Linked DNA regions of Ovis aries. The protein of the gene in region 1 purifies or fractionates together with the protein of each later gene. This does not show direct contact. Links are inferred from orthologs where the notes say so. Each region holds a gene or a part of one and is shown in the gene's direction. Other genes may lie near its edges.

Evidence for each region.
Region 2: the proteins of GPC1 (region 1) and HADHB purify together in Homo sapiens (co-immunoprecipitation; 3 studies listed by BioGRID and IntAct, counting the BioPlex papers as one, with this or other methods). This does not show direct contact. The link is inferred for Ovis aries from reciprocal best matches to the Homo sapiens genes GPC1 and HADHB.

The regions. Positions count from the first base shown.
Region 1 is NC_056054.1:1,128,214-1,139,961, reverse strand, and holds the start of GPC1 (glypican-1), read left to right. Parts: upstream 1-5,907; 5' UTR 5,908-6,092; coding exon 6,093-6,258; intron 6,259-11,748. UniProt on the Homo sapiens protein: Cell surface proteoglycan that bears heparan sulfate. Binds, via the heparan sulfate side chains, alpha-4 (V) collagen and participates in Schwann cell myelination.
Region 2 is NC_056056.1:33,481,563-33,492,774, forward strand, and holds the end of HADHB (trifunctional enzyme subunit beta, mitochondrial), read left to right. Parts: coding exon 1-85; intron 86-1,231; coding exon 1,232-1,419; intron 1,420-1,753; coding exon 1,754-1,934; intron 1,935-2,474; coding exon 2,475-2,596; intron 2,597-5,634; coding exon 5,635-5,714; intron 5,715-5,791; coding exon 5,792-5,839; intron 5,840-6,531; coding exon 6,532-6,619; intron 6,620-6,938; coding exon 6,939-7,013; intron 7,014-7,586; coding exon 7,587-7,796; 3' UTR 7,797-10,343; coding exon of another isoform or gene 10,344-10,379; 3' UTR 10,380-11,116; downstream 11,117-11,212. UniProt on the Homo sapiens protein: Mitochondrial trifunctional enzyme catalyzes the last three of the four reactions of the mitochondrial beta-oxidation pathway.

The DNA.
Region 1 (11,748 bases):
GGCTGTGACCCCAGGCCTCCCCTTCAAGTCCAGCAGGCACCCCTTACACATGGGGATGGCCCTGCTGTGCCGGGGGGACAGAGGGGCTGCGGCCTCCCACGAGCAGTGCTGGGGCCGGGGACCCCCAACCCTGGGCTGCACCCACAACAGCCCCCTCCCCTAAGACCTGCAGCATAACCCCATCTCTGGAAGCGCCCCCCGCCATCCACGGGCTTCAGGGCCTCTGCGTCTCGCCAGCAGCCCGTTCTCCTGAGCCGGGGGTCCCGGGCTCAGCATCAGATGTCCCCCCCACCCTGGAGGGCTTTCCTCTTGCACAGTCAGGCCTCAGCAGTCTCAGCGGCAGACCGCGTGGGGCTGGAACCTTCTTGCAGCCTCGCTTGCCAATGCCTCCCCTCAAGGTCCAGAAGAGCCCTCAGTTTGCACCCAGGTCTCAGCTCTCCTGCCAAGGTTGCAAGACCCTGCTCCTGGGACCCTGCAGAGCAACACCCAACTCCACCCCGGAGAAGGTCCTGCACTGCCCCCCAGCATCACACTTAGCAGGCAGCTCTGGGCCCTGGCACCACACAGGTGGGGTCCTTCTCAGCCTGGTGTGCAGCCCCCAGCCAGCGGGCTGCTCGCCAAGGCTGCTCAGGAGGCCACAGTCACCTCCCACTCGCCAGTCCATGGCGCCTGGCTCCCAAAAGGGGGATGGCTCCCCCCAGGCCAGCTGACCAGGGCCCCACCCTGGCCCCTTCCCTCACCCTCCCCAGAGAAGACCCTCGGAAACACGGCCCTGCCCCCACAGCCCCTTCGTCAGGAGCAGCAAAGGTGGGGCCAGCCAGGGTCGGTTCCTGGGCACCTTCCCGTAGCCGCGCGGCCCAGCAGAGTCCCTGCGTTCCAGGCACATTGGCATCTCGCCTGCAAGAGCCCAGGGCACACCTGGGTGAGCGGGCAAGGTCCCCTCCGGGGGTCAAGGGGATGGCCTGTTTCAGACGCGGGTCTGTGTCTTCCTAAAAGTGATGGCTGGGATCCCGGGTCTCATCCGGCCACATGATGGGCCTTCTGGGCCCGCTCCGCCCCAGGGTGAGTCCTCCACTGGCTTCTCAGAGGGCGCCTTGAACTTGGCCAGGCCCTGGAAACTGCTCTTTGTTCGGGGGATCCAGAGGGCTGTGGAGCCCTTTGGGCAATAGTGATGGAGAGACGCCGGGAGACCTCACATTTAGGAGACCACCTTCACCAAGACCCTCAGGTGCCGCCCCTGCCTGGACACACACGCCCTGGGCCCCAAGCCTCTGGAGCTGGAAGCAACCTCAGACCTGCCTGAGACTAGTGGAAGATTCCAGGACACGCCACAGATGTCTGGGGAGGAGAGGGTGGCTTGGTTTGGTTCAATGGGCTGGCTGGCCGTGAGGTGAGGAGCGGCTGGGAGCTCTCTGGCATCACTAGGCGTGAAGGACTGGAGATGGTGCAGGACAGACAGAAGCCAGACAGGCAGGGAGGCCTGGCGGGGACCCCGGAAAGCAGCAGTTCCCATGCCGGGCACACCAAGAGGGTTTTGCCCCAACACGTCAGACGGTGCCTGGGTGTCCTGGGTCCCAGCTCAGCCCTTCCTCCGGGGCCAGGCCAGGAACCAGGTGGGGAAGGAGGCTCAGGGGAGGCTGTGCCAGGTGGGCCCAGACCTGAGCACACAGCCACCTCCTCCTGGGGGTGCGTGGACCCTACACTCGGGCACCCGCCCACAGCTCCTGCCCAGCCCCGCCCGCGTGCCCGAGCCTCAGGAGCCTGGGAGGCCTGCCCAGGCTTCTGGCTGATCAAAGGGCCCCGCGGAGCTGAGCGGGCTGCCTAGGTGTCCGCCTTGAGCTCCGAGCCCTTGCAGGAGCTGGAGCAAGGGACGGGGGACGGGCAGGACGGCCCTTGGGGACGACACCCCCATTTCGTCTGACCTGCAAACCCCGTGCTCAGCGTGGGCCTTCTCCACCCTCCCTGCTTCAGAGGGGCGTCCCCCACCCCGATTTAGGGGAGTAGTTCAGACTCAGAGCCGAGTCGGCCTTCTGGGGGTTGAGGACGAGACCCTCGCCTGCGGGGCCTCCAGGACGCTGCTGGGCAGAGCCCAGGCCAGTGCCACACCTTGGGGATTCTGCCCTAACATCCTGGGGCGAGATCTTTTATAAGGACAAGAGACGCGTTCCCAAAGGGATGCGTGAGCGACGAGAAGCGTTCGGGAGCAGACCAGCAGCAGCCACGAGGCCCAGGAGGGCGCCCCCTCACCCCCCAGGCTCGGGGAGCCACCAGGGACCCTGAGGACTCCTGCCCACAGAAGTCTCTGCTCCACCAGAGTCCCATTCATCTCCTCCAGCCATGCCCGAGGTGCCCACTCCCTCTCTCAGCCTGCTGCCCAGCAGCCCCCAGCTCCCTACAGAGGTGGGGGGACCCTGTGCCCTCCGCCCACCCCCAGGGCATCACAGCAGCTCTGGGGCCCCAGCAGGTCAGCGGCAGCCCAGCTGTCCTGGGCCCAGCGCCCCCTGACCCCGCCCTGTCCTGCCAGCGGGAGAGGGTCTCGCTGGGGGCACGGCGGGCAGAGACAGTCCTGTGGATGGAGGTGAACTTAACTGCTCAGTCCACCTGGGCACTTGCCTTGGGGGTCCCAAAAGATGCCCACCAGACACAAATCCCGTTACCCCCCAGCAGCTGCAGGGGGAGCCCCAGCCTGCGGGGTCCGGGGTGGAGCCCGCCAGGCCCGCAGCCCTAACAGCTGGCTCCCGTGGCTTCTGAGCAACCCTGGCCGCCAGCCCCTCACCGGCCAGAAACAGGAAGTGGGGGGCAGGGCGCTGCCCCTCCGGGTCACTCCTCAAGGAGACGGAAACGTGGGAGAGCACACGCCCCCTTCTGAGACGACTCTAAATGGTCCTTTTCTTCTCAGCCCGCACTTGGTGTCAGCAGAGGGCAAATCCAGCCTGTCACACACCCACTCGACAGGGATGATGCTGTTTCTCTTTATGAGCAAACCACTCACGCCTTCCTCCCTTCGCACATCTGTGCCCACATGTCTGGCAGACCGGGACCCCAGAGCAGAGGATGGTGGTCTTGGCCAGAGCCACAGCAGCCACCTGTGGGCTCATGAGGCCCTCCCCAGTGCAACCTTGCCCTAGATCCCGGAGACCCAGGCTGTGCGTTCTCCCAGGGGGGCGCTCAGTCTGCACGGCAGGCCCAGGGCCATGAGTGGGGGCTGGGCACAGGCAGCTGTGTCTCGGGAGCAGTGGACTCCCAGCAGCTGGCACTGGGGTGTTATGACCCTGAACCGGGCCCCTTCCCTCGGAAGAGAGGAAGGAACATGGGGGTGCAGGCGGCACCTCCTCTCCAGGCCCCAAGGCCTGTGACCTGCGCCTTCAGCAGAGCCACCCGGAGCCACGGCCACCTAGCAGTCAGCTGCCCCTGCGCCTGGCCTCCAGCTCCTGGTCACAAGGCTCCTGGCAGGTGCTGGACCCATCCGGAGCCAGGCGGACAGTCCCCTGCCTCCCTGTGGACACGAGCCGACACCAGGCCCTCCACAGCGTCCCCTGGCCCCAAGGACAGGCCCTGCACTGGGTCTCCACAGCAGCTCCCAGCCTGCATGGGCATGGCCAGGCCCCGCCCTCAGTCCCTACGAGGAGACATGAAACCCGGGAGAGTGAGGCATCTGCAACCACACGGCCGACGAGGCCGACGAGCATGGGGCCGGGCCTTGAACACACGGCCGACGAGTGTGGGGCCGGGCCTTGAACTCCGGTCCGCCGCTCTCACGCCGGGGCGGAACCAGGGAGGCCACTGGCGGTGGTGATGAGACAAAGCATGGGCTTTCCCTCCCACTGCTTTCTGTCACCTTCAATCAATGACCTGGTGATGGAGAGCCAGAAAGACAGTACCCGTGGGGTGGGGGGGGAGGCGGGGTGTGCCCCGGGGGACCCTGGTCCTCAGCCCACACCGCACCCTGGCCGCCCCACCACCTCCCCAGGCAGCCTCCCAGCGTGGGGAGGAGCAACAGGGGCATAGGCAGAGCCCCGCACTCCCGGGAGGGGGGCCCAGCGCCCACACCCAGCTGCCCTCGCAGCTATCCTCCAGCGGGGCCGAGGCCCTCGCTTGCCCGGCTCGCCTCCACGTCTTGGCAATGAGACGTTAGAACTGCCTGGGAACAGTTCTTCACTAGTGGAAGGACCCTGGCTCTGAAGGGGAAAGAACAGAGGACCTTAGGGGCGATGGAGCCAGGACACACCTGGGAGGGGCCGGGCAGGGGCTGTGCCCACCACCAGCACCTCGATGCCGGCCACGTGAGAGCGGCCCCCCAGGCTCTGGTGCACTGATCCTGCCCTGAGGAATCGCACGGTCTGGCCGACTTTACAGGTGACAGACCCCAGTAACTACAGCCAGGTTGGGTGACCCCACCAAACCTCAGATCAGGTTTAGCCCCCCCCCCCCCCCCCGCCTGATCCGGAAGCAAAGATGGAGGGGGGTCCTGGAGTGGCCGCCGGAGGGCTGCACCCGAGTCACCCGCTGGACACAGCAGGTGCACGCGGAGGGCTGGAGGCCCGGAGGCCCGCACACGGCGGGGCCTCACCCCCGTCTCACAATGGCGAGGGGCTAGGAGACGCTCTAGGGCTGCGGCGCCCACCACTCTGGGAGCCCCAAGGGAGGGATGCGGCCCTCCTTCCTCCAACAGTGGGCGGGCTTGCTCCTGTGAGGTGAACAGGGCCCCAGGTCCAAGGCCCAGGCGTCTCCCCGGCTCCCGGCGGCGGTCTCGGGGTCCTCCCAAGGGTGCTGCTTCGTGAGCTCGCACTCCATTTCTGCCCATCAGGCGTCTGGGCTCGGGGACTGGTGGCCTCTGGGCTCTATGCTCACAGAGCAGGGGGGCACGAGCGCGAAGCGGGGGAGGGCAGCCCCTGGGAAGAAACGAAGCAGCCCTCCCGGAGCCAGCGCCCAGCTTCTGACCTCCCTTCCCGCGGCCCCCGTCCCCTCTCCCTGCGGCCGACAGCACTGCGAAACCCCCGCGCGGTCCCGGCCACCCCTCGGTCTGCGAGCGCTCTCCGCCCCCCTCCCCCATACACCTGACCTGCTCCTGGCCCGACCCCACCCCTTCTCCAAGAGGTCACCTGCCACCACCCGGCGGCCCCAGCCCTCGGACAAGCCTCTGCCCCGCTCTCGCTTCTCAAGCATCCAGAGCATCACGTGGAGGGCACAAAAGCCGGCCGACGATCTCCGGCAACTAAGCAGCGGGTTGCCTCTGAGCGTGAAGGCGAGCGGTTGCGGGCTGCTCTCTTGGCTCGTTTCCCGCGTACAGCCCCCAACCCTCCTCCACAAAAAAATCAAGACGGAGCTGGAGCCGCGGGCGAGGAGGTTGAAACGGGCGCGAGGGTGAGGGGCCGGTGAAGGGGTGAGGGCCAGGTGCGGGCGGCGGACACAGGGGGCCGAGCAGGCTGCGGGACCCTGCGCGCGAGGCACGCGGCCAGCAGGGCGCAGGCCGGCAGGGCCGGCGCGGAGTCGCGGGAAGCTGGGCGGGCGGCCGGCGGGGGGCGGGGAGGCCCCTGATAGGCGCGCGGGAGGCGTGACGTCACGTCCGGCGGGGGAAGCCCTGCCTCAGCGCCCCCGCCGCCGCCCCCGCAGGTGGTGTCGCCGCCCCGGGCGCTGGGGGTGGGGGGCCCGCCCTGGGGACCCCGGACGCGGCCCCGCGCTCTGCGCCACCCCGCTCTCCTCCAGCTGTCGGCAGACCCGCGCGAGCCGGGCAGCTCCCCGCCCCAGGCCCGGGAGCCGGAGGGGCGCCCCGCGCGCCTGGGATCGCGCCCCCGCGCCGCGCCCCGCCCCGCGCGCCCCGCGCGCCCCGCCCCGCGCGCCCCGCCCCGCCCCGCGCCCCGCCGCCCAGGGGCCGGGCCCGGACTGCGCGCTCGCCTGCCGCGCTCTGGGGCCGCCCGAGCCAGCGGCCGGACCTCGCGCCCCGCGCGCCCCGCGCCCCGCCGGCTTTTGTTGTCTCCGCCTCCCAGGCCGCCGGCGCCTCCGGACCGCCAGCCGAGTGCGCGGGGACCTTGGCTCTGCCCTTCGCGGGCGGGGGCTGCGCGGGCCCGGCCGGGGGCGCCGCCGGCACCGCCATGGAGCTCCGGGCCCGAGGCTGGTGGCTGCTGTACGCGGCCGCCGTGCTGGTCGCCTGCGCCCGCGGGGACCCTGCCAGCAAGAGTCGGAGCTGCGGGGAAGTGCGCCAGATCTACGGGGCCAAGGGCTTCAGCCTGAGCGATGTGCCCCAGGCGGAGATCTCGGGTGAGTGACCCGCGCGCCCGGAGCGCCGCTGCGCCCCCTCCTCTCTCCCGCCCTGCGCCCCCGCGCCCCGCGCCGCCCGCCCTCCGCCCGGGTCTCCTCCACTCCGCCCGGCCTTCCCCGGCCGCCGACGCGCACACACTGGCCCCTTCCCCGCGGAGCTGTCCTCGCCGCGCAGCCAACGGGGCGCTCTCCGACCCGGCGAGTCCTCCAGGGCAGCTTGGGCTGAGCCGCTGAGTCGGCTGTGGGGGCGCAGAAGACCGCGGCCGTGGGCTCCGGACTCCCCCGGGGCCGTGCGGTCCTTCCCCGGAGGCTCCTGGGGTCGGCCCGCGGATTCCCGGGGGTCCCCAGCAGAGACATCCTCGGGGCCCCGGCGAGGCAGGGAGCGAGCTGTGCGCTTGGGGAGGGGCGAGGGCCGGGGCGGACGGGCGCGACCTCGGCCAGCGGGAGCGGAACGCCGCCTCGCAGGGACTCCTGCCTGGGGAGCTTGTGCTCGCCTGGCGCTCCGGGCCGCCTCCGGCGGGGAGTCCAGCTGCAGGTGGTCGGCGCCTTGGATCCCGCCCAGGGGCCGTGCCGTTTCTTTGTAAGAGCAGCGCCGTCGCAGGCGGCCTGGGCCGTGCAGCTGCCCGCAGTCCTGCACACCCTCCTGCGGGCCTCGGAGGAGCTGTACGGACCGGAGCGGGGGTGAGGGGGAGCGCGGAGTCTGCGGAGCTCGCAGACACTCCCCCCACCCCCAAGCTCCTTCCTCAAGCTGCAAACGTGTCCAGAGCTGCACCGGGCGTGCACGGCGGTGCAGGGTTCCCGGGACCGGGGTGGAGGGGGGCGGCCGGGAGCAGAGTTCCAGGCTCCTGCCCTGGGGACGCCTCCCAAGCCAGGGCGGGGGGTGGCGGGGTGGGGAGCGGGGAGAGACCACACTAAAGTTGTCACACGGGGGACAGGGAAGGACCGCAGCCACAGGAATTCTGAATGAGAGGGGAGAGTGAGGACTGCGTCCATGGCCGGGCCTGGCTGGGGAACGGGAGGTGGGGGGCAGCCAGGCCCTTGACCCCTGCCCCCAGGAGGGCAGAACCCACAGAACACTGCCTGGGCTCCTTGACAGCCCCCTGCCCGGGGCTCTGGAGATTCCCCCCTCTCAAGTCCCCCAGGCAGGCCTTCCCGTGCTTCTGCTGACAGAGACCTGCCATTGATCGTCAGAGCTGCCTCCTCCCTTGGAGGGGCAATTTTCGTGGGTGCGTCTGGGCACTCGGGACCAGCACAAGACCCCCTGCACAGTCGGTTCAGGCTCTCCCCTGACCCTGCCCCATGCTAGGGCCGGAGGCCTGGAAATGCTTGACCTTTTGGGTGAATCCCCGAGCCCCAGGGTCTCCCAGCCCCAGCCTCGGCTGGCACCCCCCAAGACCCCTGGACTCCACAGCCCCCCCTCAGAAGCCCACTCCCACGCGGCCTTTATGTCCTTGGGGGCTGTCCTACTCTCGATCGCACCCACAGGCCTCTGTCCCAGTTAGGCCGAGACACAGGGTGGCAGGGTTTGGGCAGCCGCCAAGGGCTGGGAGCGTGGTGGGCAGGCTAGGGAAGGCAAGGCGGGTTGGCGGCCAGGCCTCCTTGGACTGCAGGGTGCAGGCGCTTCAGGGCCCGGGACCGGCAAAGAGCGCTGCTGTGCGTGTGATGGGGGACTTTGCAACTGGGGAGCGTGGTGCCAGCCGCAGCTCCGGGTGCCGCCCTCACGGGGCCTCTCTGCCTGGACTCCCTGTGACTCCTCCGCCCCAGCTCCCGGGGGTCCTGTGGCTGCACCCCGCCCCCCTGAGTGCCCCGCAGGGCCCAGGCACCGAGAGGAGTGCCAGCGCCACGTGGGGTGAAGGAAGCAGGGTGACCTCCCAAGGCAGCGGCCAGCCCTGTACACTCCTCCTGCTCGGCAGCTTGGTGCGGCTCCGCGGGCCGGGCGCCCCCTGGTGGCCGCTTGGTGGCACGACGGTCTCCTGGAGCCGGGCCTTCCGTGTTGAGTCTTGGGGGCCGGTGGGTGCCTGGGGATCCTGCGGGGGTGGGCGCCTGAGTTGGCTGGTGGGGTGGAGGCTCCGTGTTTCCCAGGACTGGAGGGGAGGGAGGACGGCCCTGGGCCTGTGGGCGACCTTTCCAGCCTCCACCTCCCCAGGGGGTAGAAACTCCGTGGGCTCAGGAAAGAGGGGCCGTCAGAGCACGAGGGGCTTCTGTTTGTGATGTGTGTAGTTTTTTGGATGGACAGCCAGGCTCAGCCAGGGTGAGGAGGGCAGCCATCCCATTTTACAGGGGGGCCTCCCCCCAGCCAGAGCCCTGCGTAGAAAGTGAGAGGGAGCCGCCCCTCAGCCTCAGTCCGCCTGCAACGGCTGGGAAAAGCCCAGCCCCAGGCTGCATCTGTCACAGGACATGCACACACCCATACATGCATGCACACACACACGCGCGCGCGTGTATACATGTGATGCACACGTGCACACCTGCACACCCGTGCACACCCGTGCAAACACGCACACATGTGCTCACACACGCACACACATGCACACATACGGGTGTACAGGTGCCTGTGGTCTCTCGGCCTTCACCTAGGGGCTTGCTCCCGGGGCACCTGCTGGCTCTCCTGACCCTTTGATGCCACAGTTCATCATGGCCTCTCTGACCCTTCACTAGGGTCCTGGGGGCAGAGGCGCATCTGTCTGTTCTGTTCTCTGCGGCAGCCGCAGAACCTCGCCCAGTTCCTGGCACGGAGTCGGTTCTCAGTCCACACCCACACACGTCCCACTTTATGCCCGGCCACGGTGGGGGCCGTGGGAGGCGGAGGGCCGGGCCGAGGAGGAAGGACCTGGCTGTCCGGCTTTGGGGTTGGAGGTTGGAGGGGAGCCCGGCGCTGTCAGCGGCTCCTCGGCTCTGGGACCCCAGCTGGCCAGGGGCCCCCAGCAGGGGCCACCGCTCAGGCCTCCCAGCAGAAACCATTGCTTCACCGTGCCACCTGCCCAAGGCTGTCGCTCGGCCACAGTCAGCGGGCCTCGCACAGACCGCCTGGTGCCCAGCCCAGCCGCAGACCAGACAGTGCTCATCCCGCCCTGTTGAGAGGGCAGAGACCCAGGGGCCTGCCCTGGGTCCCCAGGTGGTCTCCAGCCTCCTCTGAGCCGCTGCTCTGGCTCCTCACCCCTGGAGCCGCTGCGGTTTCATCATCCCCAGCCTGAGGACAAGGCTGGAGGGCGGGGGAAGAAGGGTGGGGACCCAGGGGAGCCAGGAGCCGACAGGCCACTGCGTGATGCAACGGCCTGGGCCCCCGCTGGAGCCCCGGCACGCCGCCGCGCTTCCCGGAGGGGCAGGGCGTCCTCCCTGGGCCTGGGCGCAAAGGCCAGCCCTGTTGCGGCGCCCGCCCACCGCCACCTGGGCTCTCCCGGCCCCCGTTTCTCCACATGTGACAACGGACACAGTCAGGACCCCCCTGAAGGCCGCGGAGGGAAAGCGCGCTGGCCCTGTGCGCTCTGGGGGCTGCTCCCAGCCCTGGAGCCCACTCGGGCCCTTCCAGCAGTGCTGTCTAGCAGGTGGAAGCGCCGTCCTGCCCCGGACTCAGGGGTCACTCCCCAGGACCATCTGCCGGGTGCAGGGGATAGGGGGTCTGGACCTGACTCGGGGGTCACTCCCCAGGACTGTCTGGCGGGTGCAGGGTGTGGGGGGGTCTGGACCTGACTCTGGGGTCACTCCCCAGGACTGTCTGGAGGGTGCAGGGGGTTGGGGGCTCTGGACCTGACTCGGGGGTCACTCCCCAGGACTGTCTGGCGGGTGCAGGGTGTGGGGGGGTCTGGACCTGACTCTGGGGTCACTCCCCAGGACTGTCTGGAGGGTGCAGGGGGTTGGGGGCTCTGGACCTGACTCTGGGGTCACTCCCCAGGACTGTCTGGAGGGTGCAGGGGGTTGGGGGCTCTGGACCTGACTCGGGGGTCACTCCCCAGGACCGTCTGGCGGGTGCAGGGTGTGGGGGGTCTGGACTTGACTTGGGAGTCACTCCCTGGCACTGTCCAGTGGGTGGGGGTTCTGGACCTGACTCAGGGGTCACTCCCCAGGACTGTCTGGCGGGTGCAGGGGGTGTGGGGGTCTGGACTTGATTCAAGGGTCACTCCCCAGGACTGTCCAGTGCGGGGGGTGCCTGGACCTGACTCGGGGGTCACTCCCCAGGACTGTCTGGCGGGTGCAGGGGATGGGGTGCCTGGACCTGACTCGGGGGTCACTCCCCGGGACCGTCCGGCGAGTGCAGTGGTGGGGGCCTGGACCTGACTCAGGGGTGAGTACCTGAGGCCAAGAAGCCCCGCCGCTTCTCCAGCTCCACACTCACCCACTGGGCGCTCAGGTCCAGAGCCCAGTGTGCTGACCCCCGGGCCCGTGGCACTAATGGCTGAGCAGTGCTGGGCTCTGGGCTTCTGGACGCCTCACGTCACCCCAGCCTGGAGGGCTGCCAGCTGCCCTCTCCGCAGCTCCCCTGGTCCCAGCCCCCCTCTCAGACCAGAAGCCTCTGCACTGACCCCTCCCGGGGGCCTCCGTGCCCCTCCCTCACTGGGCTGACGGCGGCCCGGCCTTGCCCACAGGTGCACCCCTGGCCAGTCCTGGCACCTGTCCAGGGAAGGCCCACCGCCCGTGCCCTGCTCAGGAGAGCTCCTCCAGGGGCGTGACCCTTGGTGTGCCCCACGGGCAGCACGGCTATGACCCTCGGGGCAGGCCTGGAGTGTCCCCAGCACCATAGCAAGCCAGGTTCCCCGGCAGTCACGGGGATGTCCTGTCCAGGGTGGGTGACTCCGGAGGGCTGGCCAGAGGTCTCAGTAAACTGGCCCCGTGCTGGCCCTAGTTAGGAACAGCGTGAGCCTGAGGTGGACAGGCCTCCTGGCAGAGGGGCTGGGGCACGCTGGCCCGGCGGCAGGCGGACCCCGGAGCTGGGGAGGGAGCACAGAATGGGTGTGGGCGCACTGGGCCTCTGCTCGGCCCCCTAGAGGCACGGGCATGGGTGTCCGCCCGGCCCGGCCAGGCCAGGGGGACAGGCCTCGCCAGGTCAGGTCGGGTCCCGGCCAGGACTCGCCCCCTGGAGAGAGGCCGGCCGGCTCTCCCCGAGGCCTCAGCTTATTTCTGAAACATTTCAGACCAGGGCTCAGGACCAGGCCCGTGCCTGTTGCCTGCCCTGACCACGTCCAGCCACCAGGCTAGTCCTGTGGGGCCAGGCCCCTGCCCACGTTCGGGTGGAGCTCCAATGCAGGGCCACCCACCCTGTGCCGGCTGGCGGCCTTCTCATCGCGTGCGTCTAGGAACAGGCCTGGGCAGGAGCCCCGAGCTGCCTGCAGCCTCTGGGCAGGGCTGATTCGGGCGGGGTGGGGGCCGCGGCTGTCCGCTGTCTCCCCCTGTGGGGTGGGGGGTGCTGGCCTGTCCTCCCTGCCGTGGCCTCTGCCCTGGGGGTGCAGCCGGACCTCCCACTCTCCTGACTTCCTGCTCCAGCCTCGGGTGCGG
Region 2 (11,212 bases), on another chromosome or scaffold:
GCCCTCGGAGCCGGCTTCTCTGACAAGACTCCTGCTCACACTGTCACCATGGCTTGCATCTCTTCCAACCAAGCCATGACCACAGGTATGTTGGGTTTTTTTTTGACAGCAGAAGGTACATGTTGGTTCTCCTTTGTCTTTTCTATGATCATTAAACATTATTCTTAACAGAAATAAATGATCTCTGAATTTGTGTGTTTCAGAAAATAAGGTACCATTTACATTTTTTTATTTTTGACAGTAGTTCTCCACCTTTTTCTTGCCCTCCATACGTGAGGACCACAACCATCTGTGTAGTTTCTTCATCAGTAGTGTGGCTGGCTATCACAGGGATTATTAAACGGAGGAGGTGCTTCTGGATTTGAGGCAGGAGGAGTTTATCACCTGCTAGGTTTTAAGATTAGGTGATTCTAGCATGATACTCGCCCATGAAGATGGTGGCCCTCCTCCCTCTATCATCATCATAGCGATAAATCACTGACTTGGATGGTACAGCTCTTTGCTCTACTTTCCCCCCACATCTTGGCCTTTTTATAATTATTTACAAATTCTCACAATAAACTTAGCAAATCTGTGGAACATTTTGTAGCACCAGCCCTTACTGTGAAAAGACAGGAAACCTGAAAGATACAGTGATCATGTACGCTCTTAGTGACATCAAGGCCAAGTGGCCAGCGCACCATAAAGGTGGCAGGGAATAAGCTGGAGGCAGAAATGGGGGCATTCTCCACTCTGCACAGCATGTGACTGCTTCCAGTTAGAGCAACATAATGCTTGCCCGTGGCCAGAGGGCAGGGGGCTGCCTTACATCTAAAAGCCATACTTTATCTAGATTGTAGTAGAAACCGAAATTCTCTTTATAGGATAAAGAGTTGTTACCAAAACTGAAGCTGGGAACATATGAAATATGCCACATATTCTACTTTAGATATGATTTGTTTGAGAATTGGTCCAGTGGATACTTCTGAAGGTTGATGTCCCTGTAGCCTGAATGAAACTTGTTTTTCTCTAGTGCATTGAATGTATTTTGAGTCATTCAAAAAAATTATCCTAATCCCTCTGAAAAGATAAAAACCAGCATTACACATGTTGTACAATGCTAATAACTATCGTACAATTTTTAAGTCCAGCCTAAATTTAAGAAAAATAAAAAGAAGCTTAAATTGCCAGTGGTCTCTTAGTTTATGCAACAGATACTCATGTGCATACAACCTGTGCCTGTGCCCTATAGCTGTCGGCCTGATTGCCTCCGGCCAGTGTGATGTGGTCGTGGCAGGTGGTGTAGAGTTGATGTCTGACATCCCTATTCGCCATTCAAGGAAAATGAGGAAAATGATGCTGGATCTCAATAAGGCCAAGACTCTGGCTCAGCGACTCTCTGTAATCTCTAAATTCAGATTGAATTTCCTATCGCCAGAGGTAAGACTCCTGAATGCTAACATAAAGACTTGTGTTGCCAAAGCATCCCACTGCAGAGATTTAGTGTTAGATAAGATGGCATGGGTTCAGTTATGTTCTAATAGCTGTGAATTCTGTTAGTTACAAGAAAAGGTTAATTATTAGGTCAAGACAGAGAAAAAAATAGCAGAAGATTTGAATTTGTAAGCCCTTTTTAGAGATGTCTTGCGCACAAAGAACTTCCCTTGTCTTGATCTTGATTGATCGTAGACTTTAACTTTCCCAGACAGCCCTAGGTGTGGTATAGCACCTGTTATATAACAGTGTACCTGGTCCCGATTATCTCCTTTCCCAGCTTCCTGCAGTGAGTGAGTTCTCCACCAGTGAGACCATGGGCCACTCTGCAGACCGATTGGCTGCTGCCTTTGCTATTTCTCGGGAGGAGCAGGATGAATACGCACTGCGCTCTCACAGCCTGGCCAAAAGGGCACAGGATGAAGGACTCCTTTCTGATGTTGTGCCCTTCAAAGTACCAGGTAAAACAGTTCACTCAGCTTTGTAAAGGGAAATGCTTCTTGATATTGTTAGAGAGTTCTGAATTTCTTCTAAAACTCCAAAAACCCTAAGTGACTTTTCAATGAATATTTCCAAAATACTCAGCTTTTATTCTTAAACATTGACTCAGGTTTCAATTTTTGTTGTAACATATGTAAGCATTTTAAAGAGATGTTTTATAAATCTCCTTTAGGTCTGGCAGATATATTTTAGTTCTTATGTGCATGCCTGTTTTTAAAGTTCTGTATTTATAAGACTTCTGTAAAGAAGAGCCAAATATAAATAAATATCTTGAGAAAATAAGTTATCCTTTTTAATGTTAAATCATTTAGATTATTTCCCAAATGTCTTAAGAGTTTGCTTTCATATTTGGTAATATCTTGATAACTATAAAGAGCCTTCTTTTTAGTGAATAGTTATGGTTTATATTTTATTTGTTCTTGTAATTTTAAAGCATATTTCTCTGTAGAAGATACATAATGCTTATTGAGCTTAGAGTTAAAAATTTCATATTTTTATAGGAAGAGATACAGTTACACAAGATAATGGCATTCGTCCTTCCTCTCTGGATCAGATGGCCAAACTAAAACCTGCATTCATCAAGCCCTATGGCACAGTGACAGCTGCAAATTCTTCTTTCCTGGTAACTGTGTGCTATTTAATGGCAACCCACTCCAGTGTTCTTGCCTGGAGAATCCCAGGGCCGGGGGAGTCTGGTGTCTATGGGGTTGCACAGAGTCGGACATGACTGAAGCGACTTAGCAGCAGCAGCAGCAGCAGCAATGATCTTTTATATTTGTGTATTCTCAATAGGAAAGCCTAAAATAAATGTACTTGTGTGTATTATGAATAGAGACTTAAAAACATACTTACTCAGACTTCCCTGGTGGCAATGTGGATAAGAATCCACTTGCCAATGCAGGGGACACAGGTTCAATCTGTGGTCTGGGAAGATTCCACTGGCTGCGGAGCAACTAAACTTATGCACCACAACTATTGAGCCAGAGCTCTAGAGCCCACCAGCCGCAACTACGGAATGAGAGTCATTTCCTAGGCAGGTTGGTAAGTCCAGGGGTCCCCAGGAGAGAGGGGTCTGGAATTCTCAAGGAGGAAGAAAGAACAAACTTTTTTTTTTTTCCTCTACATTCCTTAGGATTATATAACAATAATGTATCCTGCCTGAGGACAGTCTCTGGATTAAACCTTCTGGCTAATCCTGTTATCTTATAGTAAATTATGGGAGTAGGTCTGCTGAGGTCTTTACAACCTCCAGACATTCTTTTGATTCATTGTAATGACTAATTGGAGAGTGTATAACTCCATTGCTAACACTAACACTTTCTGCCCCCTTCTGATGCCTATGTCAGAAGCTTTCTCTATCTCCTTTATACTTTAATAAAACTTTAGTACGCAAAAGCTCTGAGCTTTCAAGCCTCGTCTCTGGCCCCAGATTGAATTCTTCTCCTCTGGAGGCCAAGAATCCTGACGTATTTTCGTGGTTCAGCAACAGCTTTTCATGAGCCCACCTGCCTCAGCTACTGTTGGCCACAGCCCACATGCCTAGAGCCTGTGCTCCACAACAAAGAGAGCCACCACAATGAGAAGCCTGCCCACCACAACTAGGGAGTAGCCCCCACTTGCCACAACTAGAGAAAGCCCTTATGCAGCAACAAAGACCCAGCACAGCCAAAAATAAATAAAATATACTTACCTATTACAAAGACTATTAAAATAGAATCAGTTTTTAAAGCTATGAAAGTCCCCTGATCCAGTCAGCATTCTAATACAAAAACACTGTTCTCAAAAAAAAAAAAAGCTGTTCTCTTCAGTCACTTCAGCAGTCAAAAAATTTTGCCTGCCTGTGCTGGGCACTGGAGATAAAAAGAATAGTTAATTGTAGTGAGAAAGTTCTGTGATGACTGTAAGCATTGACTCTTGGAGAAGATACATAGTTGGGTGAGTAAGAGAGTCTTCTTAGAGGAGGTAATACTTGATCAGTGAATCTTGAAGGAAGAGTACAAGCCAATTCAAGAAGTGTATAAAAGGCTTTCTAGGCAAAGGGAATGGCAAATGCAACTTTGAGAGTTAGGAGAGCAAAGGGCCTCTGGAGAAAAGCCTGGTCGGAACACAGGATATGAATTTAGGGAGTCATCTACAACTTGGAGGACAGGGAAACCTGGCGTGCTGCAGTCCATGGGGTCACAGAGAGTCTGATACAACTTAGCAACTGAGCAACATAAGACTTGAAAAGTAGGCAGAGAGAATGACAAGATACTTTTTCTAGTTCTGATTATTAGAAAATTATGTTTTATGCTGACCCCCAAATTACTTTCCTATAAGCATCATGGAGTAAATCTACCCGCATTTTTGGTTGTTATTTTACTTATATGCAGGTAGCTTCATGTCCTTGCTTGGGCTTTTTTTCTTTCCTCCTCTATTAAATGTCCCTCTTGATTCTGCTTCTGCTGTGAGATGTGATTTCCCTCATACTACCTTGGGTGCAGTCTTCAGGATATAGTTAATCTGGTCAGTGTTTCTTCTTACAGTATCATTCTTCTACCCAGACATACAGTCTAGAAAGAAACACAGGCAAATGTTTTACTTATTTGACCTTGATAAATGACAATTTAATGCCTGCTCTTGAGCTTAGGAAAGAATACCTGAGGTGATTTTAACAGGATGGTGTACCACCTGGTAAAGCCTGAGCAGTGAAGGATTGGTTAGGTGGTTATTTCTAAAACCAAATTGGATGATAGGTTCATATGGCATCGGTTACACTCTTGGCAGATCTGAACCCCCTTGAATACTTGTGAGATGTGCAGAAGGTTCAGGTTTATTCATCAAAATCAGAAACACGAGTCATTAGAGGTAATACATCACAGATACATGGGTTTTCAGAGATGCTGTTAATGTACCGTATTCATTGAAGTTTTTCACAATTGCACATTGAATATAGTAATGTGATGTTATTAGGTATAGTCACCTGTGTTTCCAGACTTTATGGCCACCTTATTGGTAGTGGCTGCATAGCCTCTTCAGAGTTACTGAGTTACAAAAATATGGTCTGAAATTACGGTAGAGATTGTTTTAATTTTGTCAGTTCTAGAGAGTAGTTTCTTTTCCTTTGGAATTTTTGTGTGTGTTTTTTTTTTTTTTAGCTTTTTCTTTTGAAACAGTAGTAAAGGGCTTTTGTGAGTAGTACTAATTTGTCCCTCACTTCTTCTTCTTGGTTTGCTTGTTATAGAGTCTTTAAATTGAAGAAAATCATGTACAAGCCACAGGCAGGAAACAGCTGAGAAGCAGTCCAGAAAATATAAAAATAAATCAGTAAAGAAGAGATTTGGGGGAGGATTAATTCATAAAATTCCTCATATTCTGTGCCAAAAGCAAAAAACTTCTAGTTTATTATGAATACTATTGAGTTACCAATTCTCATCATTCATTTTGATAATTATGATACTTTTTGAATAGACTTTTCTACCCTCATCTGCCAAAAATGGGTCAGTATGTGTGTAAAATTGTGATTTAATGATGGATAAAATGGGAAGATTTTGTTACAGAGAGTCACTCTGTAAGTGTGATGCGTTGGTAAATTGAGGAACAGAGTATAGAAGACGGCTGAAGAAATAGCACCAGGTAGGCTGCAGTTATTTAACATTTTTGTTCCAATTAATATTTCAGACTGATGGTGCGTCTGCAGTGCTTATTATGGCAGAGGAAAAAGCTCTGGCCATGGGTTATAAGCCAAAGGCATATCTGAGGTAAAGTAAGTATTCAAGTAAGTTTCCTCTGGTTTCTTTACTTTAGTACAGAGCTCACCCTTCTGTTTTATATCTAGGGATTTCATGTACGTGTCCCAGGATCCAAAAGATCAGCTTTTACTTGGGTAGGTAGCAATGTATATTCTTGGATTATTCTAGAAAATATTGGTTACCCATGTTTATTACATAGATTTTAAAAGTATATAAAGCACTGAGTTCATAATTGTTTTGTAAATTGGGTTTTTAAAATAATAATCCTTTATGTTGTGTTATCGTTTTATAACTTTTCTACTTGTTCCTATGCTTTTCTACTACAGTTATCACATATATACAACTTTATATCCTTTTTTACATTAAGATGTCATAAGCATTTTTTTATACTGCTACTTACTCTGCAACACAATCAGAATAGCTTTTTATGAAAGCCTCCTAATGTTTAGATAGACTCCTCTCCCTTCCTCGCAAGGCTGTACCTTCACTAGCCTCCATCATGTCACTTAACCAGCCATGCCCCTTATGCTCTGCCATTTGAGCTCTGTGTTCTTCTGGCTCTTCACATGATTAACTTGCCCTTCTCTTTTATTGTCTACTTGCTTATTATCTCTTTCTCTGAGTCTAGAATATCAACTGCAGAGGGCAGAGGCCGTGTCTGTTCAGTTTACTGTTGTATCAACAACACTTTGTTTGTACCGTAGAATCAGTGAATGAGTAGAGGACCTTCTAATAACTATGTAAAATTCAGTTTGGGGAATATGAAAGAGTTCTTTAGTTAAAAATGAAAGTTTTAATATCGTATCACTGAGTTTTTTCTTTTCAGACCAACATATGCTACTCCAAAAGTTCTGGAAAAGGCAGGATTAACAATGAATGATATTGACGCTTTTGAATTTCATGAAGCTTTCTCAGTAAGTCACTTTAAAGACACATATCAAAGGACTATAATCATTTAATATGTGTGAAACAAGTAGAGCTTTATGTTTGAAGTACTGACTTAACACTACTGGGAGGAAATCCAGGGCTACACCCACAGTGTTGAAAAACATATCTTTTGAAGCTATCTCTTTGAGGCCCTTCAGAAGTATCAGGTTGGTTCTTTAGAAAATATTCACGGAAAACTGATTTAAAGATTTGCTTAGCACTGAAGTTAGACAGACTCATGCATGAAAGAAAGTCTTGAGGGATTTTACTACAAGAAGGTCCTTATTGATTTATTTTCCTTTCTAGGGTCAGATTTTGGCTAATTTGAAGGCCATGGATTCTGATTGGTTTGCACAAAACTACATGGGTAGAAAAGCCAAGGTAAGTTTCTGGTTAAAAATATGCTTGAGGAAAAAAAAGATAGGCTTGAGGGATTTTCCTGGAAGTCCAGTGGTTAAGGCTCCATGCTTCCATTGCACGGGGTGTGGGTTCTATCCCTGGTCGGGGAATTAAGATCCTGCATGCCTCACAGTGTGGCCTCCCCCGACCCTGCAAAGCAAACCTTTGAATTTCCAAAGCACTATAATATTTGGAACTTTAATACCTGCTAATAAAAATATGAAGAGGAAGGCTGCTGCTTCTTTGGAAAATTTTTGTGTGTTATTTCATGTATTTATTTCTTAGTTGAAAAATAGCTCCTGGAAGTTCTTTGGAAAAAATAAAAGGAAGAATTCAAATTGTCTTTGGTTCATCCACTCTGATGTCAGATGAAAAATAAACAGGGCCCTTGGCTTTCAGAATTGATTTGGAATTTCTTTTGTAGTAAAATAGTATATGGTGGGTCTTTAAGAAAGTTATTTCCCTCTATTGCTATTACTTCCTGTTACTCAGAGCCTGGCCTGATTTTTAAGTAAATTCGTCTTTTTTATTTGTGTTTGTTTTTGTGGGAGCCAGGTTGGATTGCCTCCTTTGGAGAAGTTTAACAACTGGGGTGGATCACTGTCCCTGGGGCACCCGTTCGGAGCCACTGGCTGTCGGTTGGTCATGGCAGCTGCCAACAGGTTACGGAAGGAAGGAGGCCAGTATGGTCTAGTTGCCGCCTGTGCAGCTGGAGGGCAGGTAGGTCACAGAAGCTTAATACCTTCCAGAAAGTTATTTTCTTAGAAACAAATTCATCCAAGAATGTTTGATTTATCTTAATTCGAAACAGTCTTAGAGTGATTTTTCTGATGACACACAACTGGAAAAAAAAAGCCCATTTTTGAGGGCCGGGGAGTACAGCTTCAACCCTGAGAGTACTTTGAACGAAAGAAGCTATTTATATCCAAATTTTTTTCCCCCTAAAATAATGTTTACAGGTTTTATTTATGTGCTTATTATGGAAATTATGGAAAATACAAAAAGTATGTAGAAAATAAGACTAGAATCACTTCCCCTCATCAGATACTATCATTAATCATACTTTGATATATTTTCTTCTTTAATAATAAAATTTTATTCATTTATTTAGTCACCTTGAGACCTTATCTATAAAATCTCTCCAAGAGGAAAACTGTGTTTCTTGAGAAGTGAACTGTACAATGGAGAATTAATTTACCTCTGGATAACTTATTGCTATTTAGCTGGGGAAAATTTTGTTTTCTACAGATTTTTTCTATCTGTTTTACTTGTGTTACCAACAAAACTTCCTACCTGTAGCATTTCATTGTGGGACTACAATCCAAAGGAAGGCTGGCTATAATCTGTTTTTTTTTTTTCTTTTAACCCTGCTGGAAACACATTTGATTTTTCACCAGATAATAGAATCTATTTGTTGCTGACCAAGATGAATAAGATATGTAAAAGTATAAACATCTTGCATTTAAAAGCCTTTATTTATGGCTTTTCCTCCCAGACTTTGAAAAAGCAAGGGGTCAGTTATTTTTAGGTTAGAATCTTTTAGACTTCATGATTGGAAGTATTTTCTAAACTGGGTAACTTCGTTTATGGAAAACCATGGTTGGTCAGGACTGGAGCCCTCCTTCTTATCTTTCTATGCCAAGATCCACTGGGGGAGATAACTGATGCACAACGTTGTACATGGTGCATAGTCCACACCAGTCAGTGTCCTTTGGTTTTGAGTGTTTGTTCCCTAGTTTTTTAATCTAGCACATAGAGGATTAGTAACCTAATACTAGATGGTTTTGTAAATGAACAAAGAATAATATCCAATGTTATTACTTTCCTCCAGAAGTTTAAGTGTAGTGAGGAAGGAGATGATGCATTCTAGACACTAGATTCAGCTTGGCATTGTTTCATCAAGAGCCAAGTGAGTGCTGTATAGACATGATTAGATCAGAGGAGGAGTTCGTCATTGGATCTAGAGCAGGATTTCTCAGCTTTGGCAGTAGTAACACTTTGGGCTAGGTAATTCTTTGTTTGGCTGGCAGGATTATGCTGTGTGTTGTAGAGTGTTTAGCATGGTCTCTGTCCACTAGATAACAGTAGCAAACAACCCCCCTCATTACCGGCTCTCCCTGTCTCACCATATACACACAGTTGGGACAACCAAAAATATCTCCAGACATTGCTAAATGTCCTCTGGGGAGGGTGGGGAGCAAAATCACTGCAGTTGGGAATCACTGACATAGAATAGTATAATAGATTTGGAACATGAAAATAACACAGCTTAAATAAAACAGGAGAAGGAATATTCTAACTTATTATGTATCCTTCTAGGACAACCCGAAGTCAGTCAGACCTTCCCATCCCTGTTCTTTCATTTGCTTGTGCCTGTATCAAGGGTATTTAACAGTTTGTTTTGAACTACAGTGTATACTAGATTGAGGATAGAGGCCATGTAGCAAAACCTTGTACCCACACAGTGTTTAACTCGGTGCCTTATAAATAATAGTTCCTTAATAAATATTGTGGGGATTGAATTGAATCTAGAAGTAGGGAGATTAGTTAAAACTGTTAACTGGATTGATAACAGTCCAGAAGAATGATTATGATTATCAGATAGGATTTAGACTCGTGACATCATACATTTCTACACTAGGGTTAAACTAGGGAGGTAACTGTACTGTGCCTAGTGCTTGGAAAGGGGTTTTCTGCCTTTTGACTGTTGTGGGACCGCAGCTCATCATCTCCACACGCATAGCGTAGTAAAGAAGAGATCAGGCTTTGGAATCATCTGGTTTCAAGTCCTGACCCTGTTATTTGATAGCTTTCTGGATTTGGGTGAGTAATGTAACCTTTTTACATTTTTTAAATAAAAAGCCCCCATTTTTCTCATCTTTCTCACAAGAAAGAAAGCTGTTGTCAAATTCACTGTATCATGTTTATTTTTATATAGCTAAAAAAAGCCACTGTGGCTTATTTTAATAGCAGCCACTTATGGAGCATCTACTAGAAATCAGACTCTACTAGGCAGACTTTGATGCACATGTGTATGCATGTATGTGTGTGGTGTATGTACACACACATTGTATGCTATCGCTTAATTTAATGCTCACAAAAATACTTTGATATGGGCACCACGAGCCCCATTTTATAGAGGAAGTTGAAGTTCAGAGTGGCTAATAACTTTCCCAAGATCACACAGTGTTTGAATGGCAGAGTCAGGATTGAGTTCCAAAGCCTGTACTTTTCCGTGGTTCTCTGCTGCCTCCATACTGGCTGGATTCATGCCTTTCATTGCTCTAACTGGACTTCTTTTTTCTTTTACAGGGCCATGCTATGATAGTGGAAGCTTATCCAAAATAGTAGATCCAGAAGAGGTGACCTGGAGTTTCTGTGCAGCACTCGGCCTAGGCAATGCCATTTCAATGCACTATTCAATGACATCTCTAGTTCCCAGCTCCTCTTAGGAAAGCAAAATTTGTGGCCTTTTGTTCAATACTTTGCAATTAAGCCTTTCCAGTGTTCTGAGCTTTCTAAGAATCACAGCTTACTACTGTTTCAGGGATTCCTTAGTTACCAGAATCTCTCACAGTGATAAGTTCAAGCAATTGTATTTGGTCTCTATTTTCATTAAGGACTGAATTAGTGGCTACAGTTTTGGAAAGAGACTAGGTGAGATTTGGGATCACCTTTGTAACATTTGCAAATTATAACTCATTCCTATTTGTGACCTAACGATAAACGTTTTCTATAAAACACAAAACTAGTGTGCCTAAATTAACTTAATTATGGGGAAATAATTCAGAATCTAAGCATCACTGAAAATTTACAGTAAATGTTTAGATGTATAAATACCTTGTTAAAAGTGTTAGTTGTCAGTCATGTCCAACTCTGTGACCCCATGGACTGTAGCCTGCCAGGCTCCTCTGTCCATGAAATTCTCCAGGCAAGAATACTGGGGTGGGTTGCCATTCCCTTCTCCAGAGGATCGTCCTGATGCAGGGATCTAACCCACATCTACATTGCATGCAGATTCTTTACCATCCGAGCCAACAGGAAAGCCCATGTTGGTTAACCTTAATAAAGTAGAAGTTTGAGAACCATTTGTCTTGTTTTATTAGAGGTAAGAGGTGGTTCTCTTGTTTTAGGGACAGATTTTGCCTTGGACTGCTCATTTGTAACTTCTAACCATTTTG